2 linked regions of the Daphnia pulex genome follow. Each later gene encodes a partner of the first gene's protein in a complex. Links are inferred from orthologs where the notes say so. Each region holds a gene or a part of one and is shown in the gene's direction. Other genes may lie near its edges.

Evidence for each region.
Region 2: THO complex subunit 5 homolog (region 1) and SAP domain-containing ribonucleoprotein-like share a complex: the UniProt entries of both Homo sapiens proteins name them as parts of the transcription/export (TREX) complex. The link is inferred for Daphnia pulex from reciprocal best matches to the Homo sapiens genes THOC5 and SARNP.

Annotation. Positions count from the first base shown.
Region 1 is NC_060020.1:6,248,534-6,253,136, reverse strand, and holds the start of THO complex subunit 5 homolog, read left to right. Parts: upstream 1-1,667; 5' UTR 1,668-1,990; coding exon 1,991-2,110; intron 2,111-2,205; coding exon 2,206-2,640; intron 2,641-2,711; coding exon 2,712-2,897; intron 2,898-2,954; coding exon 2,955-3,087; intron 3,088-3,149; coding exon 3,150-3,456; intron 3,457-3,524; coding exon 3,525-3,750; intron 3,751-3,817; coding exon 3,818-3,884; intron 3,885-3,952; coding exon 3,953-4,150; intron 4,151-4,246; coding exon 4,247-4,362; intron 4,363-4,428; coding exon 4,429-4,603. Other genes in the region: 60S ribosomal protein L13-like, read left to right, coding at 226-309, 371-529, 736-909, 971-1,237. UniProt on the Homo sapiens protein: Component of the THO subcomplex of the TREX complex which is thought to couple mRNA transcription, processing and nuclear export, and which specifically associates with spliced mRNA and not with unspliced pre-mRNA.
Region 2 is NC_060024.1:915,398-919,078, reverse strand, and holds SAP domain-containing ribonucleoprotein-like, read left to right. Parts: upstream 1-1,536; 5' UTR 1,537-1,673; coding exon 1,674-1,694; intron 1,695-1,846; coding exon 1,847-1,940; intron 1,941-2,012; coding exon 2,013-2,080; intron 2,081-2,138; coding exon 2,139-2,248; intron 2,249-2,315; coding exon 2,316-2,640; intron 2,641-2,701; coding exon 2,702-2,881; 3' UTR 2,882-2,989; downstream 2,990-3,681. UniProt on the Homo sapiens protein: Binds both single-stranded and double-stranded DNA with higher affinity for the single-stranded form. Specifically binds to scaffold/matrix attachment region DNA. Also binds single-stranded RNA. Enhances RNA unwinding activity of DDX39A.

The DNA of each region.
Region 1 (4,603 bases):
AGTAGTTCTTTCTTTCCTAGCAAGAGGCGCTCCAGTAGGAAGAGTAAGTCTCCTTTAACATTTTTTCTCGGTCGAGCCAGGAGTGACGTTAGTAAGCTATATCTGAATCCATCCTTAAAATTATACATTTGACTATCCCAAATTTATAGAAATCACGATTTAGCAAGTCTTTTTTAGTGGAATCTGTAAAACTCACCATCGAAATTTTACTTTTGTAGTTTCACCATGGCGCCCAAAAGGAACAACATGATTCCGAATGGACATTTCCACAAACAGTGGCAGCGTTATGTCAAGACTTGGTTTAATCAGGTACATTTCTTTTAATATGTGTGTTGAATGTGTGCTTTACAGTAGTGTTTCATCTTTACAGCCAGCTCGCAAGCAGAGGAGGCACGCACACCGTGTAGCCAAGGCTCGTCGTGTGTTTCCTCGTCCAACGACTTCATTGAAGCCCATCGTCAGGTGCCCGACTTTCCGGTACAACACTCGTGTTCGTGCTGGAAAAGGATTCAGTTTGGAGGAATTGAGGGTAACATATTTACTATTAATGTATCATGTTTTGAATTGTGGAAATTATGACAGACACGACTCAAATCAAACTGCAAATTGCTCTGGTTTCATTGTCGAAGAGTTAAATAATCCATTTGGTTTAGTGTAGCAAATGTTTTATTATGCCATATGCTCCAAAGTTTTATATATTAATGTGATCATTTTTATTTGAATTTTTTGTTTTAGGCTGCCAAGATCCCTAAGCGTTTCGCCCCAACAATTGGTATTGCTGTTGACCACCGTCGTCGTAACAAGTCTGTGGAATCATTGCAGTTGAACGCCACTCGCTTGAAGGTCTACAAGAGCAAGTTGATCCTCTTCCCACGCAATGCCAAGAAACCCCAGAAGACTGATGCTACTGTAAGAATTGTGACAAGGATTGTGTACCACCACTTTACAATAACATTATGTTTTATTTCAGCCTGAGGAAATCAAGTTGGCCCAACAGTTGACTACTGAGGTTATGCCCATCACCAGGTCTTACAAATTGGAGAAGGCTCGCGCCATCACTCCGGCCGATCGCAAATTCTCTCCTTATGCTGTACTCCGCACGGCCCGAACAACAGCACGCCTTGCAGGTATCCGAGCTAAGCGAGCTAAGGAAGCGGCTGAAGATCCTGAAGCAGCCAAGGAGGCAAAGGCTAAAGCCGCCAAAGCCAAGGCTGCCAAGGGTGGCAAGAAGAAGTAAACCGTTCTCGGGATTGTATTTTGTATTTCAACCAAAAACGGCAAAAATACAAGATTATCCTGTCTATAATGTGTCAGACGTACGTCGAATTGCCTCAGTTCTTACAGCTTATTTGGTGGAAAACTTTCGTAAAAGTCAGACATAAGAAAGGCAAAAGTTTGAAACCTTTTTAAAATATTCACAAACATAACCCACAGTAGTTTTAACATGATTTATAGGTATAAGGTGTCATTTTGCTTGAATACCAATTATTAATCCTTAAATGGGAAGGATAAAATGTATAACAGGAAAATTGCATACTTGACGATCCCTTTGAGATAATTAGTGATGTCTATATCTCAACTCATGGTTAGAGAAATGAAATGTTGGTGGTTGAATATTTTTAAGCTATCGGGAAACTCCCTTACTCATGTAAAGGTAATGTTAAACGGTTAGGTCCTCTTTCTAAATCATTGATACAATGCGCAGTCCTTTCAAGATTAAGAGTATTGTTTAAAATTTCAATTTATTTAAAGCAAGGTTCCAGGACTCGGGCTATTTTCCTATTTTCTTTGATAAAGCCTGATAAAGCTAAAAGAAAATTTTAATTTTAACGGAACTAGTTCTTAAAATTACCGCTACGTGTACCCGTTTAAGAATAAAAAGATTCAACACGTTATACAGTTTTGTCGGCCTTGCATATAGTAGACGTAGACAAGACTTATTTAACATAGTAAACTGGTAAACGGAACAAGCTTGGAAGCGGTATTAACAATGTCTAAACCTTCCAAAACTAAAAGAAGTGACTCCGAATCTATTAAACAAGATCCCAAAAAAAGCAAAAATGATGTTTCATCTATGGCAGCAGCAAGTAAAGTGAAGGAATTTTGCAAGGTACTTGTTACTTAATTCTCTTAACTTTGGTTAGATTTTTTATTGGGTAAATGATATAGTGCTGAATTTAACTTTTCATTTGCATGATTTTCTAGAATTTCATGGACATTGAAGACAAGGAAGTTGAATCCCGGACAGGGGAAAGTGACTTGAAAATATTCAAAGAAACATGTTGTGAATTAAAAAGATTGATGACAGACATTTTACAATTGAAAACATCTGGAAAAACCGATGAAGAAACCAGTAAAAAGATCATTGAAAAAAGAATAGAAGCTTCTCTTTTGTTTGTAACATTGAAGAAGTTAAATCGAATAGACAAGCTTAGATTGAAAAAGGCAAGGGATACAACCCATGATGCCAAGCAGCGTGTGGATACATTTCATTTACAACTAGAAAATCTGCTGTATGAAGTCTTTCATCTGAAGAAAGAAGTGGACAAGTGTTTGGAGTTCAAGTCTAAAGATGAGGACATTGAACTTGTTCCTGTTGAGGAGTTTTATCAGGAGGCCCCAAGTAGCATTTCTAAAATGGTATGAAAATCTACCTATTGTTTACCAACCACTACCAAAAAGTATTCTTATTTTGTTTTCTTTACATTTAGGAATTGACCAAAAGTAATCAACACAAATTGACTTTGGCTCGGTTGGAATGGGAATTTGAACAACGGAAACGTCTTTCGGAACAGTGCCGTAGTCTGGAACAAAATCGAGAAAAGGCATCCAGTGAAATCAGTCAGAAACAAAAACAACTTGAAAGCCTGTTACCCAGACTTACTTCCATACTTGAGGTAATTAAGTGATACAAAATCTAAAAGAATTTGATTTTAATATTTATGTTTCGAAAGTCCACGCGACCCTTACAAGAAGAGCTTAATTTGCCTGTAGAGCGAATCAAGTTTCAGAAAGAGTTGGCTGTGTTATTACCGGATCCACTTTACATTTTGTACAGTCAGATAAAAGCGTTCATTGAAGCATGCGGTAATTTTATTAAATTCGTAAGTTTTCTTAATCGTTACGATAAATATGACTTTAACCCGCAGATCCGTCATTGCAAATTTCTATCGAAGGTGGAATGGAAGATGCTATTAATTTTGGGTCAAAGAATAAAACTGGTTTGGACGAAATTCTCGAGGATGTTGATTCAGCGGAATCTGACATGGAGACGGAATATGAAACAAACAAACGCTCCGCGACTTCAAATAAAATGAAAACAGATTGGCAATTGACTAGGCATCCTTTACGTATTCAACTTAAGATTGAACGCGTTGTCCTTAACTTCACGTATTTAACAACATTAAATATCGTCACGGTCGACTGCAAGCCCGTTCAGCAAGACGATGGAGTAAAGTAAGATTATATTATTGCTTTCTTTCTATATGTCGAAATGTCTTTTAAAAAAGTCTTTCTCTTACTAGTCAGATTTGTATGATCGATAATCTCCTTTCCGGACTTTTTCCAAACGACCATGGGGATGAATCGCCCAGTTGGGTCAATTGTTTTCAAGCAAGGTCTATGATCAACGGTAAAATAACTGAACAAGGAAAACCTTACCTTTGGGCCCAACGTTTAGCTGGGTTAGATTTCAACGGCATCGTAAAATCGACACCTCAATCTTTCATCAACACGGAATTCGTTGAAACGGTCTCTATAATTTTTTAAACAACAATAACATAGTAAAACAAGAATAACCGTGTTTACTTGTATTTAGGTTATTCTTGCCCTAAAAAGTAGGATTACTTATCGTTTCCAGTTTGTTAAGGTTTTACACTTACTTGGTGAGTCTTATTTCATACTTGTTATAAAACAGTTTTAAAATATGCATAGTTTCTTTAACATTAAACAGAAAAGGGTGAACTTGATCTCAATCAAGACTCAAATGCTACTTTTCCACCAACAATCTATTCTCGACTCGTCTCATGGACGTCTTCTACGTATGAAGAATGCCTCGTAACGTCAAAGAACCTTGAACGGCTGTTGAACTTCCTTGAAGTAAATCCAAAAAGCCTTTCGTTTTACAAAGCAACTCTTGAAAGAGAATCCGGTATAGTTGTAAAATATTTTAAAATTTAATTTCTGTTAAGGATCCTGTATGATGAATTTAATTATTATTGGAACCTTTTTTGTATTTGAATTCCAGCAAAACTACTCGCGATGTTCATGGTTCCTGTAGACTACCCGAACTCTACACCAATTTGTTCACTTGAACTTAACTGGAATGGAAAGCACAATAGAGAAAATAGTGAAATTATACGCGTATGTATTATAGCTAAAACTTTTCGTCTTCGGTTTTGTGATATTTTACGTAATTTTTAAAAATAGAGAATCGAAGCGGAGGTTAACGTTCCCAGTACTGAACTTCCTCCTCAGCACAAAGTTGATCTGCTGACAGTGCAATTGAAGAAATTGAGCCTGCATTTGGATTTGATTACAGAAATCGATGGTCAGTTAATGAAGAAAGGAGGCGGAAGTTGGCAGTCGCAGTCTAAACCAGAAT
Region 2 (3,681 bases), on another chromosome or scaffold:
CTGTGCCATCATGATACGTAGACCAGGCTCACTCTATATAAATCGTAAATTGTCAAACACACACGTAAACAAACAAAAATGCCCGGTGTCTTAAAAAAACAAAAAACAAAACAAAAAAAACTGGAATATCTATTTTGTCTAGTTCTCATCAGTTCAAACGTAAACGTCTCGAAAGATCTATTTTGAAAATACGTGTCTTTTTTTTCTCCTCTGTTTTGTTTCGTTATTATTAATTGCCAAAAAGAAATAGGCCGCCACGCGCGCCTCTCTGATTTGATATATTCGTGTATGTATTTTCAAGTGCTTGTATACCAATCGCTTACAAGTTGATGAATGATGATCGCTGTAGTGTTGCGTGTAACGTGTATTTATCGGGGAAAAAACAAAAACAATTCCCGATAAGCTAAAAAGAGAAAATTTGACGCCATTTCAGAATGGGCTTAAAAATTGGGTCCCAAGAATAGTGAAAAAACATAAGAAAATCATTGGGCATCACTGTATATCCTTTATTACAACAGTATCCCGGGACCAGACAAATCGACTACCGTCGTGCCGTTTAACCCCCCCCCCCCAATCCCTTATTGGAAACGTGTAAAACCATAATTGTCCTCAGCAGTAAATGATATATATAGTTAAGTTGTGCGTGCCTTGAAAAAAGAAAAACAGAAATCGATTGCCTCGCACAAGTTGGATATTGCCACAGCAATTGGTGTTCTCCTTTTACCCACCTTTTACTCCTTGCCGGAATATAGCCACGTTTCTGCGAATTGGTTGTTTGTTTTTGTTTTTTTGTTTTTTTTTGTTAAAAAAGAAAGAAAAAGACGCGAAAAGACCATTGTTTTTTTCTTCCTTTGAGATGTGTCGCTCGCTACGTAAACATTGCCTACTGTCCGAAGCTGAGCGTCGTCGTGAAAGTGCTTTTTGCGCGCACGTATTTTCATGTCAAAGCGAAATACACGGCTTGAGCATTTGTCTCATTCATTATATAACTATTGCAGCTTGAACTGTTTGCTTGTCTTAAAACACGTTACTTTTTGTCACTTTCTTGTTCTTTGAGCGGGAAAAGAATCAAAAATTCAAAATTCACTACGATGTTACGATGAAATTTAAAATCATTGATTTACAATACACACACTAGTTAGTTAAGCCAATCAGTTTTACTTGGTTTATCACAAGATATTTTATGAAGTTTTTATCAAGCTCTTTAAATTAAAAAAAAAAAATTACTTTGACAATGAGTTTGATCATTTGCGATTACAGAAATAACGTAGTTGCAATGTTTTATGCGTAGCCTTTTTGTCCGAGAAACCCATCGCTTAAAATTAATTTCTCACTATTTTTTTTCAAAATCCTACCAGAGTTATCCTACGTGGCTGATTACTTTTTCGAGGGTTTTCTTTCTCATTGTTGGCTAGTAACACACTAACATGGCAACATGACTCGGACAAACTTTTTGCATTGACGATAGGTGACACTACTTTAGTACAGGATGCGCCCGATAGAGATCACTAGTTTAGAAGCCAGCAAAAGCATACGCAATTTCTCCTCTGAAACAATACACTGGCATTCAAAAGTCGAATTACTTTCAAGTTACCGCGTTGCGCGTTCCAATTGTAATTCATTGAAAGTTTGAGACGCCGGTACAGACAAACGTCATCATTATCATCACAATCATGGACATCTCTAAATTAAAAGTAACCCGCTTAACTTTATATTTGAGTGAAACTTGTCAATATTTCCAACTTAGAATCCTGATTGAGTTTGTCAAATCAAATGTCTATTATGTTTTTGAACTAGTGATAGGCCTACTGTGTGCATTTCATCTTGACTGTTGTTTTCATGCTAGGTTGTGGACCTTAAAAAAGAGTTAAAAACACGAGGCCTCAGCACCATTGGCACTAAAAATGAATTGATGGAAAGACTGCAAGATGCTGTGCAAGGTAAACTTTTATCATTTTGATTATTAAACTGTTTCCATGTTTATGTTCAAGCTTTTTTCCGTGGATGTTAAGATGACGATACTGGAGATAATGGCGCCTTAGACAATGATGACCTTTTGGATGAGGAGGCAGTTTTAGCAGTAAGAACATTGGTTTTATACAATGTGATAAACTTATGCAATTTTATTTTTGGTATAGGATGAAGAAGCTATTTTAGAGGAAGGAAATGCAAATTTGATCGCCCAAGAAGATGATGCAGTTCTTTTAACACCTACTGCATTGAGTGCCCCCAAAGTTACAGTTGAAAAGTTAGTTACTCTGTTTGTTTGGAAAATAATTGCCTCAAGATTAATGATGAAATGAATAATATTTCAGGACTGTTCAGGACTCGAAGAATGAAATAGTTTCTCCCCATAAAAAAATCATCTTGAACAGAAAGGTGGTAACTCCTCCATCAGATTCTGGCACAGTTTCACAGGAAAATGACGACCACCTTAAATATGATGCCAATAAAGGTGATGAATCTGACTCAAAGGAAGAAAAGAAGGTGATTAAACTTGGTTCCTTATCTGCCGAAGAAAGAGCCAAACTAAGAGCACAGAAATTTGGTGTTCCTATTCCCGATTCTGTGAAGAAAGCTGTTCGAGCAGAAAGATTTGGCGGTACAAATAGCACAGAATCAAACACATCAAAACCTCAGGTATTTTCGATTGATCAGCTCATCGTTCTTCGTGTTTTCATGTAGTGAATTTTTATTTAAGGTTCCTGATAATGACAAACTTCTGAAAAGGCAAGCTCGCTTTGGCGTCGTTTCTAATTCTAATTCCGAAGTTGATGAGAAGAAACAGAAGCGAGCAGAGAGATTCGGAACTACGAGCACTGCGGTCGGCAGTTCTGACGAACAGAAGCGCAAACGTGCTGAACGTTTCGGACTTGCCTGAAATGTTCGTTTTAAAGTTTATTAATTGACGTACAGTTAAATGAAACAAAGACTTGGTTCGATCACAAAATTTTTAGTTTTTTAAAATTAAATGTGACCTGATTTCTTATCCCGATAAAAAAAAAAATACTAATTTGGTGTATACTTGAAACACATTTTCTCATGGGTCCGAGTTAGGTTGGTCGGCGGAGTTGTTTTGTTTCTAGTTTGTAATTGAAATAACCTGATATGTTGGTGCGCAATTTCACTTGATTTTATAAAGAAAAGAGCAGCATGAAACAAAGAGATGAAATTTAGTGAGGGAGTTCTAGGCTAGTGGCAAGTCGAAGGGAGTAGCGGTTTAGGTTAATGTAGAAAATTCAAGTTGGAAGGGAAATAATCGTGCAAAGGTAATAAGCAACCCGCCACTAATAAAGTGTGGGTTCAAAACCCTCACTATGTAGTGTAGGACGCTTTTTTAGAAATCTGGAAAGAGACAGCATGGTCCTATACCATGAGGGACAGGAACAGTAAGTAAGTCCCCTGTACTACAAAAGCATATTACAACTCAAATGCTGCAATAATAGGCTATAATATTTTTTTCTCTACGCGATTTTACTAGATATTCGGGAAAAGAAACGTTCGCATCGCATTAGGCCTACTTTGCCTTTTGAAGGGGCGAAAAACCAACAAACCGCAACAAACTATTTGATGCAAAACGTAGAGGGTAGAGTGTAGGTAAATTAGCCCAATCTTAACTTGGTGTAGACACCATTTATTTGACACTCTATATATGACGCAAACAATGAACAAAGTAAACAG